2 linked regions of the Xenopus tropicalis genome follow. The protein of the gene in region 1 interacts with the protein of each later gene in a pairwise test. Links are inferred from orthologs where the notes say so. Each region holds a gene or a part of one and is shown in the gene's direction. Other genes may lie near its edges. The genes, in order: rxra and nr0b2.

Region 1 (10,309 bases):
GCAGAAGTTTAAATGGCAGTAGGTGGGGAATGGTTGGAAGGGAGTCAGTGGCAGTGAGATGGGGGGGGGGGAATCCTTAGCCAGGGAGTTGGGGGGTGAGGGTCAGTGCCAGTGGGTTGGGGGGGGGGTAATGCCCGGGGTTGGCCATTGCTGCAGCCTTTTGTGGGGCCCCATTGCATTCAGCCCTTTTTCCCATAGACTGGCAGCTCTGCCTGGGCACCAACTCTACTCGCCCTGTGGCCCTAACGATCCCAGGGTGCAGCTCCTATTGTGTCCAATGACTTTCCTCCTTCTGGAGTCACATGACCCACTTTGGCTAGTAGCCCCCCCCAAAGGTGCCAACCAACTCCTTTCCAGCTGTTATGGACCACGCAGGCCCTGGGGAATGCTGGGAGTTGTAGTTTAGAACAGCTGGAGGGCTGGGCAGAGGGAACTAGGCTGAGCCTGTGCCAGTGTGAGTGCCTGTGCCAGTGTGAGTGCCTGTGCCAGTGTGAGTGCCTGTGCCAGTGTGAGTGGTATGGTGTGCCAGTGTGAGTGCCAGTCTGTGCCAGTGTGAGTGCCAGTCAGTGTGAGTGCCTTGCTGTGCCAGTGTGGGTGCCATGCTGTGCTAGTGTGAGTGGTATGCTGTGCCAGTGTGGGTGCCAGTCAGTGTGAGTGCCATGTTGTACCAGTGTGAGTGCCTTTGCCAGTGTGAGTGCCAGGCTGTGCCAGTGTGAGTGCCAGTCAGTGTGAGTGACATGCTGTGCCAGTGTGAGTGCCAGTCAGTGTGAGTGACATGCTGTGCCAGTGTGAGTGCCAGTCAGTGTGAGTGACATGCTGTACCAGTGTGAGTGCCTGTGCCATGCTGTGCCAGTGTGAGTGCCAGTCAGTGTGAGTGCCATGTTGTACCAGTGTGAGTGCCTTTGCCAGTGTGAGTGCCAGGCTGTGCCAGTGTGGGGGCCATGCTGTGCCAGTGTGAGTGCCAGTCAGTGTGAGTGACATGCTGTACCAGTGTGAGTGCCTGTGCCATGCTGTGCCAGTGTGGGTGCCATGCTGTGCCAGTGTGAGTGGTATGCTGTGCCAGTGTGGATGCCATGATGCTGTGCCAGTGTGAGTGCCATGCTGTACCAGTGTGAGTGCCAGGCTGTGCCAGTGTGAGTGCCATGCTGTGCCAGTGCCAGACTGTGGCAGTGTGAGTGCCATGCTGTGCCAGTGTGAGTGCCATGATGCTGTGCCAGTGTGGGTGCCAGGCTGTGCTAGCGAGTGCCAGTGTGAGTGTCAGACTGTGCCAGTGTGGGTGCCATGATGCTGTGCCAGTGAGTGCCAGTCAGTGTAAGTGCCATGATACTGTGCCAGTGTAAATGCCAGTCAGTGTGAGTGGCTGTGCCAGTGTGAGTGCCAGTCAGTATGAGTGGCTGTGCCAGTGCCATTATGCTGTGCCAGTGTGTGCCAGTCAGTGCCAGTGTGAATGCCAGGCTGTGCCAGTGTGAGTGCCATGATGCTGTTCCAGTGTGAGTGCCAGGCTGTGCCAGTGTGAGTGCCAGGCTGTGCCAGTGTGAGTACCAGTCAGTGTGAGTGCCAGTCTGTGCCAGTGTGAGTGCTGGGCTGTGCCAGTGTGAGTGTCAATCAGTGTGAGTGCCAGTCAGTGTGAGTGCCAGTCAGTGCCAGTGTGAGTGCCAGTCAGTATGAGTGCCAGGCTGTGCCAGTGTGAGTGCCAGTCAGTGCCAGTGTGAGTGCCAGTCAGTATGAGTGCCAGGCTGTGCCAGTGTGAGTGCCAGTCAGTGTGAGTGCCAGGGTAAGTGCCAGTGTGAGTGCCAGTCAGTGTGAGTGCCACGGTAAGTGCCAGTGTGAGTGCCAGTCAGTGTGAGTGCCAGGGTAAGTGCCAGTGTGAGTGCCAGTCAGTGTGAGTGCCAGGGGAAGTGCCAGTCAGTGTGAGTGCCAGTGTAAGTGCCAGTCAGTGTGAGTGCCAGTCAGTGTGAGTGCCAGGGTAAGTGCCAGTCAGTGTGAGTGCCAGTGTAAGTGCCAGTCAGTGTGAGTGCCACGGTAAGTGCCAGTGTGAGTGCCAGTCAGTGTGAGTGCCACGGTAAGTGCCAGTCAGTGTGAGTGCCAGGGTAAGTGCCAATCAGTGTGAGTGCCAGTGTGAGTGCCAGTCAGTGCCAGTGTGAGTGCCAGTCAGTATGAGTGCCAGGCTGTGCCAGGGTAAGTGCCAGTCAGTGTGAGTGCCAGTGTAAGTGCCAGTCAGTATGAGTGCCAGGCTGTGCCAGTGTGAGTGCCAGTCAGTGTGAGTGCCAGGGTAAGTGCCAGTGTGAGTGCCAGTGTAAGTGCCAGTCAGTGTGAGTGCCACGGTAAGTGCCAGTGTGAGTGCCAGTCAGTGTGAGTGCCAGTCAGTGTGAGTGCCAGTCAGTGTGAGTGCCAGGGTAAGTGCCAGTGTGAGTGCCAGTGTAAGTGCCAGTCAGTGTGAGTGCCAGGGTAAGTGCCAGTGTGAGTGCCAGTCAGTGTGAGTGCCAGGGTAAGTGCCAGTCAGTGTGAGTGCCAGTGTAAGTGCCAGTCAGTGTGAGTGCCAGGGTAAGTGCCAGTGTGAGTGCCAGTCAGTGTGAGTGCCAGGGTAAGTGCCAGTCAGTGTGAGTGCCAGTGTGAGTGCCAGTCAGTGTGAGTGCCAGGGTAAGTGCCAGTCAGTGTGAGTGCCAGTCAGTGTGAGTGCCAGGGTAAGTGCCAGTCAGTGTGAGTGCCAGGGTAAGTGCCAGTCAGTGTGAGTGCCAGTCAGTGTGAGTGTCAGTGTGGGTGCCAGTCAGTGTGAGTGTCAGTGTGGGTGCCAGTCAGTGTGAGTGTCAATGTGAGTGCCAGTATGAGTGTCAGTGTGAGTGCCAGGGTAAGTGCCAGTCAGTGTGAGTGCCAGGGTAAGTGCCAGTCAGTGTGAGTGCCAGTCAGTGTGAGTGTCAGTGTGGGTGCCAGTCAGTGTGAGTGTCAATGTGAGTGCCAGTATGAGTGTCAGTGTGAGTGCCAGGGTAAGTGCCAGTCAGTGTGAGTGCCAGGGTAAGTGCCAGGGTAAGTGCCAGTGTGAGTGCCAGTCAGTGTGAGTGCCAGGGTAAGTGCCAGTCAGTGTGAGTGCCAGTGTGGGTGCCAATCAGTGTGAGTGTCAGTGTGGGTGCCAGTCAGTGTGAGTGTCAATGTGAGTGCCAGTATGAGTGTCAGTGTGAGTGCCAGGGTAAGTGCCAGTCAGTGTGAGTGCCAGGGTAAGTGCCAGGGTAAGTGCCAGTGTGAGTGCCAGTCAGTGTGAGTGTCAGTCAGTGCCAGTGTGAGTGTCAGTCAGTGCCAGTGTGAGTGCCAGTCAGTGTGAGTGCCAGGGTAAGTGCCAGTCAGTGTGAGTGCCAGGGTAAGTGCCAGGGTAAGTGCCAGGCTGCTGGGCAATTAGCGAGTGGGAAAGAGTTCGGTGCGATTCTGTGGGTAGAGCCGCATTTCCCCTGAGCGCCCCTAGGGGGCCCCCGCTCCGCCTCTCTCCCCAGTCCCCGTATCCCGGCTCCCCCCTCTGCGCTGTGTCACTGGCGGAGGGCTCGGCCGTCGCTGCTCCCCTCGGCGGGGCCCCGTTGCATTGCAGCCTGAGGAGTTGGAGCGGGGAGGCAGGACAACTACTTTCCTTACATTGTTGGTGAGTTTGCAGCAAACTCCTCCGCCCGGGCCCCCGACCCCGCTGGATCCGACTCTCCCCGGGGCCCCCGGATCCCCTGCTCCCAGCCGGCCCATCGCTCTCCTGCACAGGATATCACTGCGGGGCCCCCCAGCCTCCTCTTCCCATCCCCAGGCGCTTGGCATGAGTTAGCCAGCCATGGACACCAAGCATTTCCTGCCGCTGGGTGAGTACTGGGTGCCAGGGTGCTGGGCTGTGGGTGGGGGGCACCTACTGCCGCATCTGTCTCTCTCCTGCTCATCCCACTGCCTCCCCTTGTGTTGTTGTTCCAGCCATTTAACCCCCACAATGCACTTGTAGAGTTCCATACCCCCCCCTTTGGCTGGTAGCCCCCCCAGCAGTGCCAAGCAGGTAGTGGGCACAAACACATGGGTACAAGTTATTGGGCAGCAATGCCAGGCTCCTTGCTCTTATGACTCCTGGGCTGCTGGGGCATGCTGGGAGTTGTAGTTTATAGCAGGTAGAAAAGTTCAGGGGGGGGGGTCCTGCCCTGTCACTACTACTACATAAAGTAGGAGGGGGCAGAGGGGAAATTGCTGCCCTCGGTGTTTATGATCCCGGGATGTATCGGTGTTATATAAGGGGGGGGTATTATACCGTAACTGTCCCTAAGGGCAACTTCCTATTGTATCAAGTGCCAGCGAATGGCTCTTAACCCCTTATCTGCCAAGGTGGCATCAGAGAGGTTAAACTATTCTTATGCAAATGGTAAAACTACCGTTCCCAGCATCCTCCTGTGGCCGGTTAATCAAAGGCTGTGCCACTCTTACTGCCAGGGGGGGGGGGGGGGGGGGGTAGCTGCACACCTTAGTAGACATGGCCCTCTGCTTTTAGACCCACTTCCCTGCCCCGAGCTGAGACGCACTGATTTATTTGATCGCAAGCATTTGGGACAAGGACCCATAATGCCTTCTGTGCCGTGACCCGTGAGTTCATTGGTGGAAGCTGAACCCTTAACCCTACTGATGCAGCCAAGGGCACGGAGCCATAATCTCCCCCCCCGTCAGTGCCCGTTTAGTGCCAACTCTGGGTCCTTCTGTGTTTCCGAGACATCGATTGAAGTATTTAATTAAATTCATGCCGACTGTACCGATTTCCGTTGCGCCATGCTGAATCTTACAGTCATAACCAAGTAGCCATGCTGATTGGATACTGCATACAGTATATGCTTATGGTTTTAAAGGGGGTCTGGCAGAGAGATTGCCCAAAAGGTGCCACTGGTGGCGGTTTCAATGGTGGTGGCGCTTGCCCGTTGGCAGGAAAATGCCCCTGATTGTGATTGATGGCACAATGTAAATACATACTGTTATTGCCTATGGGATAAGCCACACTGGTGGCACCACAACGCATGGGTATTCACACCGGTACTGTCTGTTTATTTAGTGACGGGCAATGCCAAGGGCACAAGTGACCTAATACCCCAGGACCCCTGCCCAGCGCAGCGGAGAATGAAATAAATAAAAGCTAAATTCCTTTGACGGGAAGGATCCGTGTCTCCCGTAAATAAAGTATTAATGCCCGCCGTTGGCACCAAGTCACTTCAGTTACCCGCAGCAACCAGTGTGCGGTTACCAGGCTGCTATTGGGAATGAACTGGGGGCAAACATTGCCCGACTGACTGTAATACCCCCCCTGTTGGCGCACCTGGTTCCCACGGGGTGCCAGTCGGTGCCCCCTCCTCGCCCTACAGTTTCCCACCAGATTTTCTCTTCTCCTTGAGAAGCTCTTGTCCCTCAAGTGTTTTGCTGGGCACCAGAATGACGTACAATTAATTAGCTTTGGGCCGGGTACCTTTGGGCTATAATTACACTGCCTAATTGGGGTGGGGGGTCACCGGTGCCCCAGCACTGATGGACACAGTAGGTGCCAGGGGTGGAGCCCTCCGTGTCTCCTGTTGGTGCTTTATTGGGACATTGGAGGGTACAGGTACCAGACTGGGCACTGGACTGGTTAAACAGGACCCTGTGCCAACCCAAGGCTCGGCGGGGCACAGGGCAGGAACAGGGGGGCGGGGCTAGTGCAGCTCCAGGGGGCAAGGTTCACGGGCAACTTGTTGTGCAGTAATTCCTACTGATAATGGTGCGGGGGATCCCATACAGAGCTCACCTACAGGTGCCCGGCGGGGTCATGTTTATATTATTACTTGCACCCCCCAGGGGCCCCGATAAAGCAATGGAGGCAGGGGCCACAGGAGCTTCATGTTTGATTGGTTCTGGCTTTGAGAAACAATGTAGCAGAAGTCAGTTCCCCCTCCTGGTCTGTCAGTCAGTTGCTTCTGCTACATTGTTTCAGTAGAAAGTAAACTGACAGTCAATAGCAATGACAGTTACACATAACTATAAACCCAGTGAGAATGAGGAATGAATGGGTATTGGGGAGTTGTATCAGGAGTCAGAACCAGCAGTGCAGGGAAGGGAAAGGGACAGACACAGTGACAGTTACACATAACTATAAACCCAGTGAGAATGAGGAATGAATGGATATTGGGGAGTTGTATCAGGAGTCAGAACCAGCAGTGCAGGGAAGGGAAAGGGACAGACACAGTGACAGTTACACATAACTATAAACCCAGTGAGAATGAGGAATGAATGGATATTGGGGAGTTGTATCAGGAGTCAGAACCAGCAGTGCAGGGAAGGGAAAGGGACAGACACAGTGACAGTTACACATAACTATAAACCCAGTGAGAATGAGGGATGAATGGGTATTGGGGAGTTGTATCAGGAGTCAGAACCAGCAGTGCAGGGAAGGGAAAGGGACAGACACAGTGACAGTTACACATAACTATAAACCCAGTGAGAATGAGGAATGAATGGATATTGGGGAGTTGTATCAGGAGTCAGAACCAGCAGTGCAGGGAAGGGAAAGGGACAGACACAGTGACAGTTACACATAACTATAAACCCAGTGAGAATGAGGGATGAATGGATATTGGGGAGTTGTATCAGGAGTCAGAACCAGCAGTGCAGGGAAGGGAAAGGGACAGACACTGACAGTTACACATAACTATAAACCCAGTGAGAATGAGGGATGAATGGATATTGGGGAGTTGTATCAGGAGTCAGAACCAGCAGTGCAGGGAAGGGAAAGGGACAGACACAGTGACAGTTACACATAACTATAAACCCAGTGAGAATGAGGGATGAATGGATATTGGGGAGTTGTATCAGGAGTCAGAACCAGCAGTGCAGAGAAGGGAAAGGGACAGACACAGTGACAGTTACACATAACTATAAACCCAGTGAGAATGAGGAATGAATGGATATTGGGGAGTTGTATCAGGAGTCAGAACCAGCAGTGCAGGGAAGGGAAAGGGACAGACACAGTGACAGTTACACATAACTATAAACCCAGTGAGAATGAGGAATGAATGGATATTGGGGAGTTGTATCAGGAGTCAGAACCAGCAGTGCAGAGAAGGGAAAGGGACAGACACAGTGACAGTTACACATAACTATAAACCCAGTGAGAATGAGGAATGAATGGGTATTGGGGAGTTGTATCAGGAGTCAGAACCAGCAGTGCAGGGAAGGGAAAGGGACAGACACAGTGACAGTTACACATAACTATAAACCCAGTGAGAATGAGGAATGAATGGATATTGGGGAGTTGTATCAGGAGTCAGAACCAGCAGTGCAGGGAAGGGAAAGGGACAGACACAGTGACAGTTACACATAACTATAAACCCAGTGAGAATGAGGAATGAATGGATATTGGGGAGTTGTATCAGGAGTCAGAACCAGCAGTGCAGGGAAGGGAAAGGGACAGACACAGTGACAGTTACACATAACATAATGGATATTGGGGAGCTGCTTGTCTTTTATTAGGTGATAAAACAGTTTTTGGGCTGAGTTCCCCTTTAACTCGCTGCCATCCAATCAGGGCTCGGCGCAGGCCCCAGGAGCAGGTTTAACAGTTGCAGTAGTCGCGAATGGACGGACACAGCTCTGAGCTTGGCTTAACCCCCTGGGGGGGTCGTGGAAGTGTTTAACCCCCTCATTGCTGATGGTTTATTAGGGCGCCTGTGCAGCTGCTGCAGAACCCCTTGCCCCTGAATGTGTATAGTATAGAACCCTATAGTTGGTTCTGAAAGGCACATTGGGGGCTCGATGTGAAGGCTCCCCCCCCTACAGGAAATGCCAACGCGATTTCAGTCCTCGCCGTCCGCTCGGCTGCGTTAGTGCGTTCATCTGACTGTTGCTATGGTGTGCGAGCGAGTGTGCAAATCCCCTGTGTGCCAGCATGCGTTTGTCTGATAGGGATGGGTAAGAGATCCAATGGTCTGGCTGGGGGGGATTGTAGCCCTTGTGAAACTACATCTCCCATCATCCTTAGCTAACTCAGCTTGGATCCCCCCCCTCCCACTGCAGTTGGTTTATTCCAGCTGTTATTGGACTCCAGAGAATATAGAACTCAGTGACAGCGGGCATGACCCTTGGAATGTATGGGAACTACAAATCCCAGCATTCCCTGGGAACTCAGTGACAGCGGGCATGACCCTTGGCATGCAATGGGAACTACAACTCCCAGCATTCCCTGGGAACTCAGTGACAGCGGGCAGGACCCTTGGAATGTATGGGAACTACAAATCCCAGCATTCCCTGGGAACTCAGTGACAGCGGGCATGACCCTTGGCGTGTATGGGAACTACAAATCCCAGCATTCCCTGGGAACTCAGTGACAGCGGGCAGGACCCTTGGAATGTATGGGAACTACAAATCCCAGCATTCCCTGGGAACTCAGTGACAGCGGGCATGACCCTTGGCGTGTAGTGGGAACTACAAATCCCAGCATTCCCTTGGACCTCAGTGACAGCGGGCATGACCCTTGGCATGTATGGGAACTACAAATCCCAGCATTCCTTGGGAACTCAGTGACAGCAGGCATGGCCCTTGGCGTGTATGGGAACTACAAATCCCAGCATTCCCTGGGAACTCAGTGACAGCAGGCATGACCCTTGGCATGTATGGGAACTACAAATCCCAGCATTCCCTGGGAACTCAGTGACAGCGGGCATGACCCTTGGCGTGTATGGGAACTGCAAATCCCAGCATTCCTTGGGAACTCAGTGACAGCAGGCATGGCCCTTGGCATGTATGGGAACTACAAATCCCAGCATTCCCTGGGAACTCAGTGACAGCGGGCATGGCCCTTGGCATGTATGGGAACTACAAATCCCAGCATTCCCTGGGAACTCAGTGACAGCAGGCATGGCCCTTGGCGTGTATGGGAACTACAAATCCCAGCATTCCCTGGGAACTCAGTGACAGCAGGCATGACCCTTGGCATGTATGGGAACTACAAATCCCAGCATTCCCTGGGAACTCAGTGACAGCGGGCATGACCCTTGGCGTGTATGGGAACTGCAAATCCCAGCATTCCTTGGGAACTCAGTGACAGCAGGCATGGCCCTTGGCATGTAATGGGAACTACAAATCCCAGCATTCCCTGGGAACTCAGTGACAGCGGGCATGGCCCTTGGCATGTATGGGAACTACAAATCCCAGCATTCCCTGGGAACTCAGTGACAGCGGGCATGACCCTTGGCATGTAATGGGAACTACATCTCCCATCATCCTTAGCTAACTCAGCTCAGATTCCCCCCCCCCCTGCAGTTGGTGCATTCCAGCTGTTATTGGACTCCAGAGAATATAGAACTCAGTGACAGCAGGCATGGCCCTTGGCATGTAATGGGAACTACAAATCCCAGCATTCCCTGGGAACTCAGTGACAGCGGGCATGGCCCTTGGCATGTATGGGAACTACAAATCCCAGCATTCCCTGGGAACTCAGTGACAGCGGGCATGACCCTTGGCGTGTATGGGAACTACAACTCCCAGCATTCCATGGGAACAGCTAAAATCATTGCTGTCGGCTAGGGGAACGGGTCGGGCCCAACGGGCCAGTTTCTGGGCAAATGGCACAAAATGCAGAGGCTTCGTGTCACCAGGAAGAGGTGCGGTTTGGTGGTTAAAGCGGAGTCTTGTGACTCCGGAGAACAGAAAAAGGAGAGGTTTTCTCATTTAAAGGGATAGGCTGCATGCTGAGGGGTTACCGGTACTATTGGGCACGAGAGTCAGACCGGGGACGTTGGCCGCCGTGGCCTCTTCTCAGAGCCGTGTCAGTGATTGGCGGCTGCTGCTGCACGGTTCCTTGGCGCTGAGCCTCTGATGGGATCAGAACAGCCCTCGGGGCAGCGGCGCCATGTTCTTGATTCTAATTGGATAAAAGTGTTTTTCTTGCTAACTGAGAAAACATGGGACACAAGCAATGGCTTCTATCTATCTATCTATCTATCTATCTATCTATCTCTCCGTCTATCTATCTCTCCGTCTATCTATCTATCTATCTATCTATCTATCTATCCGTCTATCTATCTGTCTGTCTGTCTGTCTATCTATCTCTCCGTCTATCTATCTATCCGTCTATCTATCTATCTATCTATCCATCTATCTATCTATCCGTCTATCTATCTATCTATCTATCTATCTATCTGTCTGTCTGTCTGTCTGTCTGTCTGTCTGTCTGTCTGTCTGTCTATCTATCTATCTATCTCTCCGTCTATCTATCTATCCGTCTATCTATCTGTCTATCTATCTATCCGTCTATCTATCTATCCGTCTATCTATCTATCCGTCTATCTAT
Region 2 (10,405 bases), on another chromosome or scaffold:
TTCGCATAGCCTAATGCGATATTTAGCGCGTTTAGTGGTTGTGAATCATGCGATCGTATTCTTTTCAGCGCGGAAATTAACGCATGCATTAAAACTAGCGCGAGAAATACCGCATGCGAAAATGGCGACTTATCGCACGCGATAATACTATGGTGAATTGCGCGCTAATTATCGCCACTTATTTCACGCAAAAAAGCGTGCGATAAATTTTATCGCACTTTAGTGAATCGGGCCCATATTATTTTGTGTGGGCCTCCATGACAGGTAATTTACATTATGTTCAAGCTTCCTGCTCAGGGTTTCTGTGAAGCAATAGATTAGCCCTGTATTAGTAAGAGCGAAAGGAGAATTCATAAGATTACTGGCAGCACACAATGGTTACAGGGTTAAAGGAATTGTTCTACTGAAGAGACACTATAATCTGTCAGAGCTGATTCATTCAGCCAGGTCAGCTTTGGAACTGTCTAGGCACGCCTAGGTGTCATGGGGGCATCTATATAATGACACATGTAAAGGGGTTGTTCCACACACTACTTCCACACACTTTTTTCAGTTTATTGGTTTCAGATAGTTCACCGGGGGTAAAAACTTTTTTTTCAGTTGGTTTGTATTTTATGTTTGTGAGCATTTTTCTAATATTGAAGTTTTGCTTTTCATTTTCTTATGTCTCCCTGGTGTAGTCCAGGTGGGGGATCACCAACTCTGTAAAGTATTCTAATTTGATTGATACAAGTCTTATGTAAGTATAATGTGAGCATAATCCCTTAGTTGCATTAAGGGTTCTTATACACAAGCTTTTGCTAGTGTTTCTATTGCAATTAATGTGGCAAAAAACAAACACAGGTGAAATGGAACCTGATGTGTGTGCAAAAGCCTTAAAGTCAGTTGTTATAACTGATACAATCAGGGCCGCCATCAGGGGGGCAGTTGTCCAGGAGGATTTTGACTCTTAAGGGGGCCCAGCCATGCTACACTTATTAGCTGGAGCCCCCTTTAATCAAATACAGGCCCTGTCCTCTTTAACATTGGGCATGTTAAATTTTATTGGCGGTGAGCAGCTAATCCGGTTGGTTGTGCCCCATGCATACGTGTGATGTCAGTACGCACGAGGCACAACCTTGTAAGAGGGCCTGTCTCCTGTAGCATGGAGACAGAAGTGAAGAGGTGTCTTCGGGGGAGCATCTCGCTGGAGAAACCAATGCCGCCAGAGGAGTCGCTGAAGAAGAAGACGGAAGAGCCAAAGAAGGAAGAGGATGCCAGAGAAGGAAGACGTTACACTGAACACCAATGTTCTTAGGCCCTGCCCTGACCACCAATGCTACCCCCTGGCCACCAATACTACCTCCTGGCCACCAACAGTTTAGGGAGCCCTGGTCACCAACAGTTTAGGGAGCTCTGGCCACCATGAGTTTAGGGGGCCCTGGGCACCATTGGTTTAGGGGGCCCTGGCCACCATCTGTTTTAGGGGGCTCTGGCCACCAATGATTTTTTATTTACAATTTGAAGGGGCCCCTGGCCACCAATGATTTGTATTTATAACTTATAGGGGGCCCTGGCTTTGTACCAAGGGGAGGGGGGGCAAGAAAATTTTGTTCTGAGGGGCCCATGATTTCTAATGGCAGCCCTGGATACAACAGTTGTCTACTTTTCACAGATGCTGCTGAGAAATGTTAGTTAATGAAGCAAAATGTAACAGTAATGCATTTCTGTGCTGTGATGATGTACATGTTGGCCTGAAACCCATGGGTCGGGTGTGGTGAACATCCACACAAGACTTGGGGTCCCGGGCAGGTTCTGGTTGAGCTCTTTCTTCAGTCCTCCATGCCTGCAACCTTGCTATGTCCTGCTTCCACCTATGGCAACCTCTATTTATAGGCACATACACATGATAAATGCCCTTTAAACTGTTTATTTTTACAGCGTGACTATTGGATCAGATATTTTGACCACTAATTATGCTGTCATGTGACTTATTTTGTTGTTTCATTGATTTGCATAATTTTTGTGGTTTTATTGCATTTTTATCCCTATATTAGTGTTCCTGATCTGATTTTAGCATAGCTTTGCCATGTGTAACTTTGGTGTACAAAAATAACTTTGTCTCTGTATAGTTAGGGGGGGTTACGGCACATAATACGCTGTCAGGGGGCTCTGTGTGCAAAAGCTGAGTTGGCAGGCGAGAAATCCATATGCGCTATTTTAATTTTGGGTTCAGTACACACCACAGACTTTGGTATATCTATGCATATTGGGCATCAAACTGTTCAGTTGACCTTAGGTGTTCCTATTTGGGGTGAATTGCCTTTGTATGCAAGAAATTGTGTGAGATAAATGCAGCAAACTGCAACATTTTTATGCGATTTTCTCAAATGTCATAAAACCACTAACTTTAGGAAAGCTTTGCAGATTGGTACTTTGGTGTAGAAAGGACTCTTTACTCATGTTAGATTTGTCAGAATGTGTACTTTCCAAAAATATAAGGTTTTCTGGGGGTCTCTGTATAGTTAGGGGGTGATACGGCACATAATATGCTGTCAGGGGGCTCTGTGTGCAAAAGCTGAGTTGGCGAGAAATCCTTATGCACTATTTTCTTTTTGGGGTCAGTACACACCACAGACTTTGGTATATCTATGCATATTGGGCATCAAACTGTTCAGTAGACCTATGGTGTTCCTATTTGAGGGAAAATCACTTGAGGTGATTTTTGGAAATGCCATAAAAATCGTCAAACTTAGGAAAGCTTCGCGGCTTGGTACTTTGGAGTAGAAAGACATGGGTACCCATTTTAGATTCGGGGGAAAGTGTACTTTCCAAAAATATATGACTTTCTGGGGTGAGCATATGTTTTACTAGCGTTATCCCACATATAATGATGTAAATGTGTTGATTTTGCAGAAGCTGAAATGATAGATCATATGGGGGTATGTTCACATTGGGGCCCCTATATGCCACATACTTAGGTAAACCTATACATATTGGGCATCAAACTGTTCAGTGGACCCCTGGACCCCTCTTGGTACCTAATGATAAGTGGGAGATAAGATGCTGGAAACTGGAAGCTTTGAGTGGCTTTTTCAAAATTTCCAACTTTAGGAAAGCTTTGCGGCTTGGTACTTTAGAGTAGAAGACACGGGTACCCATTTTAGATTCGGGGGAATGTGTACTTTCCAAAAATATATGATTTTCTGGGGTGAATGTACTTTTTACTAGCTTTATCCCACATATAATGATGTAAGTGTTGATTTTGCAGAAGCTGAAATGACAAATGATTGATCATATGGGGGTATGTTCCCATTGGGGCCCCTACATGCCAAATACTTAGGTAAACCTATACATATTGGACATCAAACTGTAAAAACAATAACTTTAGGAAAGCATTGCAACTTGGTAGTTTGGAGTAGACAGACAGTTGTGCCTATTCTGGATTCCCCAGAATCTGTTCTTTCTAAAAATGTATAGTTTTCTGGGATAAACCTTCTGTTAGTGGAATTTTGGCCTTAAATACTAAAAAGTATTCAGCTTTCTGGAGCAGTGCTTTGGAAATTTGGTAGTGTACTGCTGGGAGTTTTTGACCTACAGTATACAACTGAGAAATCTCCATAAAACTATATATATTTGGTATTGGCACGTTCAGGAGACATGGGACTTTCCAAATCAGTTGTATTTTCATGCATAAAATACTTTTTGTTTCTGGTGTATGTGTTTATATTATGGAAAATATTTTTTTTTCATTTTTTAGACATTTAGAAGCCTATATCTTGTTACAGAATCGGAATTACACAAAAATTCTACCATATTTTAGCCATCCTGAAAAAAACAATATATTGTTTTCCCGAGGAAAGGCCCCTAAAGTGAAACAGTGCAAAATGTTCAAAAACTGTATGGCAGTAGAAGTTCCACTTTGTCAAAAACGGCTGGCAGTGAAAGGGTTAACAAGTATTAAACAACCTGATAAGAATGGACTGAAGAGGTTATTTTTAGTTTCTGAGGCTACAGTATCAATGCATGTAGGAGTGTGTAATCATGCTGATATTGCAAGCTTCAGGAAGAAAAGCATTTTTAAATCTAGTGGTGTAAGTACTCTGTGCTAGGCCCCCTGCAAAACAAAAATCGTTAGAAGGGCACAGCACAGAGTAGCAAACGTACCCTTCCCGACCACGTGTCATCCCTACACGTCATCCCTACACTATGACGCATTCCCTGCCCCCTCCTGCACTTGTCTGTCAATTCTTGCCCCCGCCTGATTCCTACCTAGAAGGCGCTGCTGTGCCTATTGACGCAGGGGAACCCTGGAGCTACTGCCACCTCCTGACAAGGCATTAGCTTCAGGATTCTTCAGTGCTCTGAACCAATAGGCACAGCACAACTGCATCAAGAGAATCGCTGTTTGCGCACTGTGGGAAACAAATATGGCGGTGCACTTTGCACACTGCATCTAGGTAAGTGAATGCACCCTTCAAATAAAGTCATTCTGTGCTGTTTTAAAAAAAAAGCTGATAAATGGCTTTATCGTGTCAAATTAAATTTTATATTGTGATTTTTCAAGGACAAGCTAAAAACATAGAATTGCCACTGTAAATGTATCACAGTTGGCAGCTTGGTAAGTGTCCTTGATATCATGGCACTGCTTTCCACCATATCACAGTGACAGGGAACGGTAAACAACACTTTACTCATTGTTCAGTTCCTATCAGTAACCAGCTCCCTCATTCAGATAATTCCAGCTCCTTTAGATACTGTGGGCTAAACCACGCCTTGCTCAGTTGTGAATGAAAACAGTCTAGTAGGAATAAAGTTCAAGGGAATTTTAGCACACGCAGTCACATTACTGTTCAACTTGCTGAGTATATAAAAGATCCAATCACCTACTAGTTTGGCAGAACTACTGCTTTTCTTTATGTGTGAGGCACTGTATATCGGCTCATGTGTTTATCCCCCAGTGTATGCAACACGGAAATGGCTTGCATATCTGAAAAGTTAGGAAAATGTCACTGTAACAGAGATCCAGTTAACAGTATTCTTTTTCAGATGCTTAACAAAGGGATTCATTCAGAGACTAAGAGCCCAAATGACAACCGCAGTCACATCTGCTCCTTGGCTAGAGAATGCCCTTGTGAAGGCAACAGAAGAGTGTCTCTGAAGAACCCTGAGGTGACTTGCAAGACAGCATCAGAAGTACTACTAAAAACTGTGGCATTCATTAGAAATGTACCATCCTTCTATCAGCTGCCCCAGGAGGATCAGATTCTTCTTGTACAGAACTGCTGGGCTCCACTTTTTGTTTTAGGTCTTGCCCAGGAAAGGGTGAATTTTGAACTACAAGAACATTCTGTTCCCAGTTTATTAAAGAAAATTCTTCTAAATCAGTATGCGAATGTCAGTGACATTGCACTGAGATCTGATAGAGGAGTTCCAGCAATAGAAGTTCAAAGAATTCAGCGGTTTCTATACAAACTCTGGAACTTAGACATCAGCACAAAGGAATATGCTTACCTCAAAGGGATGCTTCTGTTCAACCCAGGTAAGATGGTTCACATTTAAATTTACTTTTAGTATGATGTAGAGAGTGATATTCTAAAACAATTTGAAATTGGTCTTTATTTTTTATTGTTTGTGGTTTTTTGGAGTTATTTGGCTTCTTATTTTGCAGCTTTCCAGTTTGCCATTTCAGCAGTCTGGTTGCCAGGGCCCAAATTACCCTAGCAACCCTGCACTTATTTGAATGAAAGACTGGAATACAAATACAGTAGGTGAGGGTCTGAATAGAAAGGTTAGTGATAAAATGTAGCAATAACAATAAATTTGTAGCCTTAAAGAGCATTCGTTTTTTAGATGGGGTCTGGGACACCCATTTGAAAGCTGGAAATATTCAGAAGAATAAGATAAACAAAGAAAAAATAAAGGGCAATTGAAAAGTTGCTTAGAATTGGCCATTCTATAACATACTAAAAGTTAACTAAAAGGTGAACCACCCCTTTAAAGAGATGTTCAGAAAGTCTATGTCTTGTGCATCTGTTTTTTTGGGCTCACTTCTGCCCCTGTCCATGGTAACCCTTGCTCACTTCAGAAATTTTCTTTTAAACGCTTAAAGAGTGAGAAATATATATTTTTAAAAAATGACTTATCTTTTAGTTTTGGCCTCCATTATTCTCACCTCTATCACCAGTGCCTGGTGGTTAAATATACTGCGATTTATAACCAAATTTGAAGTGTTTTAAGTGAACACATACTTATACAGACCTATATATACACTCACATATATAAACAATATATAACAATATCTATACTAATTCTAGATTTATAGTATCAAAATAAACTTTGATATTAAGCTAATGTGGAAAATCATCCAAGCCCCAAGGCAGTAACAGAATCTGCCATCACAACATCACCTGGCAGGACATTTCACAACCTCACTGCCCTCACCTTAAAGAACAACCTACGCTGCTTAAAATTCAAATGAAAATTCCTCTAAACCAGTGGTTCTCAACCTTCCTAATGCCGCAACCCTTTAATACAGTTCCTCATGTTGTGGTGACTATAAAATTATTCCTAAGACCATTGGAAATATGTGTTTTCCGAATGTCTTAGGCGACCCCTGTGAAAAGGTCGTTCGACCCCCAAAGGGGTCCCGACCCACAGGTTGAGAACCGCTGCTCTAAGCTAAAGGAGTAGCCTCTACTGAATATATATAATAGGATGTCGAACTGGCTTTAGGTTCAATCTTTCAATGGTTCGGTCAAGCTACTGGATATAACTATAAGTAACTAGTAATAGGGGAACTTTCACATACTCAAAATGTAGTTAAGCTTCATCTCATGGAAATAATAAATATTCTAAGAATAATCAATTTAAAATTCTGTACCTATTTCTGAAATAATCAAATTACACTTCATTATCCTCCTCTTAGCAGTCGGTGTCATTATTGATTATCTTTCGAAAGTTTCTTACTTCCATGACATAAAACACAAATTAAATTTTCATTTTTGTAATAGTTCCCATTTCAGAGCTAATCATTCTTAGGCTTGTATTGACCTTTTTTAAGGCTTCTCTTCTTTAGTTTTTATTTATATAGCATGAATGTGTTATGAAGCTTGGAAATCATCTGAATAGCTACTTAAATAGGAATTAAATAGTTTGGGCTATTCCAGTGTTTTCAGTACCACTGTATAGGCTTACTCACACAGAGTTCTGTAAAGTAAATGCTTGGAGCTGCTGCCTGGACTGTGAACGCTCTACACTCTAGAGTGCACTCTCTAATGGAAGAATCTTCAAGCCTTTGCCTCACTCTGTAGCTCTCCGGGGGCCCTGGCCGTACAGTGCTTAATGTTTGAACAGATCCCTTAAAAATGAGCTTACGTCACATTGTGTGACTACTGCATAATCCATTTATTTGTATTATAACCTTGACAAACTGCAAGTGAAGGAGACTGGTAGAGCCAGGAGTTTCTTTTTTTATCTGGGTTCAGCAGGAGCATAGTCATAAAATAAATTTCATTTATTATATGGAACTTCCTATCATGCTTACTGATAATGCAGCCTGATTTCTCTTTGTATATATCCTCTTTTAGAAAGTGAGCTCTTTGACATTACTTTCATGTCTACGTGCAGTTTAAAGCATCCAGCTGGGAACTAGTATTAATATTAATTACTACTTCCTTTTATATTAATCCCAAGGATTAAGGAAGGCCTGTATTATTTTCCTCTACAAATGGTTTTATTATCAGTACTGAAAACTTTTATATATTAATATAAGTTATGGAAACTTTCCACTGTTCTGTGAAAAGTAAAGGAAGCATGATGTCATTTAGGATCCAGTAACAATTTTAAAATCTAATTGTAGCTAAAGTTATTGGAAAGTTGAAAGAACATTTTCCCAATGCTTTTCCATCCCCAAAACAGAGGTATGAATTGTATAGCAAACTTTAAAAAAAAAAACCAGAAATCAAAAGCAATATCGTACAGGTATGGGATCTATTACCCATTATCCAGAAAGCTCTGAATTACAGGAAGGCCATCTCCTATAGATTGCATTTTAATCAAATAATTCATTTTTTAAAAAATGATTTCCTTTTTCTCTGTAATAATAAAACAGTACCTTGTACTTGATCCCAACTAAGATATTATTATTATATATAATTACAGACAAAACAATCCTATTGGGTTTATTTAATGATTCAATAATTTTTTTTAGTAGACATACCATATGGACATCCAAAATACAGAAAGGCCTGCAAACCTCAGGTCCTGAGCATTCTGGGTAACAGTGTCCATACCTGTAACATCTTTTAAATGTAGGCCAATGGGCATTCAGTCATAACACAGTCCTAGTTCCCATTTTACTACTAAGAAACAGCATTGTTAGTGAAGGATTTTATTTATATACAATACTTAAGGCCAGATTTACTAAAACTCCATAATTTCTCATTTTTTTTATTTTCAAATTTGACCAAATTAGTCTTCCCAAATGTCTGATATTTACTAAAAAAAAGTCACTCAGAGAAAAGTTGTAAAAAAAAAACTCGACTTGTTCAACTTTTTGCCGCGAAAATTCCAACTTTAGAAAATTGTTGCTGTGAGAATTCTAAAAAGTCGTGAATTTCAGAGAAAACCCAGCAAAATCTTCGAGAAAGAACTTCAAGGGAAGGGACCTTTGCCAATGACTTCTACTTAAACTCTGTGAGTTTAATCTGGCAAATTGTCAAATTCATATTTTTAGCTGTTTAAACGTATAGTAAAAAGCATTTTTTCTCTGCAATTTTTTTTTAAAAATCAAATTGAGTTTAAAATTAAAAATAGATGGCTAGTAAATGAGCCCCTAATGCCAAAAAAGGAAAAAAGGTGTATTGTCTTTAATCCCTATATATTTCTTACTTCTTTGATCCTTGTGTGCTAACTTTTGATTTAATAGTTATTGTGTACTATGAAAACTTTGCTTAACCCACGTGACATTTTTTTAAAAATGTTTTATTTTAATAGTTAAATAATACACTTCACACGCAATTGTCTTTTTGTTTCACAGATATCAGTGGCATGACATTCCCTCACTATGTTCACACTCTGCAGCTGGAAGCCCAGCATACACTAATGGAATTTATCTCAATGATGCACAGTCAGAGCCTTGCTCGCTTCAACTGGATGCTTCAAGCACTTGACACTGTAAAAGAAGTTAACCCCTTAGTGATCACAAAACTTTTTTTCAGTCCCATCTCTGGTGAGATAAATGTGGAAGAACTTTTGCTGGAAACATTATTTGTAAAATAAAAAACCTACTATTGTGACATGTATAAATGTCTCCAGAACTGCAACAGCAAGTTATGGAAACCATAATAACTTATAGCTAATATCATTTGAAAAAGAATGCTGTGGTGAAAGCTTCCCTTAATGCCAATAAAGAGTTTACATACAGTGGATCAGCCTTTCCGGAATGATACTGTGACATTACTCAATGAGTTAATGAAATGACACTTACATAGGAAGAAATGCTTTCTGCAACGTGACCACAGTTATACTCCTTATATTTGTTTGTCACTATATTAGGGATACACCAAATCCAGGATTCGGTTTGGCATTTGGCTGAGATTCAGACTTTTTTGGCAGGATTTGGCCAAATCCATAGTCCTGACTGAGCCGAATCTGAATCCTTAAAATCATGTGAATTTTTGCCACAAACATGGAAGTTGGGAAAATTTTGTGCGTTTTTTCTATGCCTTAGTGTGCATATGCAAATTAGGATTCGGTTCAGTATTTGGCTGAATCATTCACAAATGATTCATGGTTCGGCTGAATCTCAAAATAGTGGGTTTGGTTTATCCCTACACTATATACAGACTACATAAATGAAAATTATAACTAAAGTACATGTTGCTTCTATGTATTTTCATGCATTGCACTACATTATTTGAAATCCTTGTTATAATGTTCTCTGGTTCCTTTATGACTATTCTTGTTTGTTCTACAGTATATACACAATAGCTTCTCTCGTGTGAGTGGGACCACCAATAGCTGAAATATACAGTTCTATTGAGTAAATATGTTTTGTAACACAAATGTGTGTCATGTGTGACTTTTTTACAAGAGTACAAAAAGTCACACATGACACACATTTGTGTTACAAAACATATTTACTCAATAGAACTGTATATTTCAGCTTTTGTTTTCTTTAAACGCCACCTATATACACTTTGAATTGAGCAAATTGTAAAACAGTTTGCAAATGATCAGGTGACAATTATTAAGTCGTTTTCCACATCATTTGTCACGTGGCTTATGGCACACAACAAGTTATAACTGGAAGATGTTGACATCCATATTGACAATACTGAAGTTGTCTGCAATCCCAGATATTTTAACTTGTGCCAAATACACTTTAAGGTGCTGGAGAGATATTTTAAAGCCTTGTTTATTG

What was found.
Region 2: the proteins of rxra (region 1) and nr0b2 interact in a two-hybrid assay, tested with the Homo sapiens proteins (2 studies listed by BioGRID and IntAct). The link is inferred for Xenopus tropicalis from reciprocal best matches to the Homo sapiens genes RXRA and NR0B2.

Annotation. Positions count from the first base shown.
Region 1 is NC_030684.2:8,059,578-8,069,886, reverse strand, and holds the start of rxra (retinoic acid receptor RXR-alpha), read left to right. Parts: upstream 1-3,489; 5' UTR 3,490-3,802; coding exon 3,803-3,830; intron 3,831-10,309. UniProt on the Homo sapiens protein: Receptor for retinoic acid that acts as a transcription factor.
Region 2 is NC_030681.2:89,461,162-89,471,566, reverse strand, and holds the start of nr0b2 (nuclear receptor subfamily 0 group B member 2), read left to right. Parts: upstream 1-3,898; 5' UTR 3,899-4,923; coding exon 4,924-5,521; intron 5,522-9,019; coding exon 9,020-9,261; 3' UTR 9,262-10,405. UniProt on the Homo sapiens protein: Transcriptional regulator that acts as a negative regulator of receptor-dependent signaling pathways. Specifically inhibits transactivation of the nuclear receptor with which it interacts.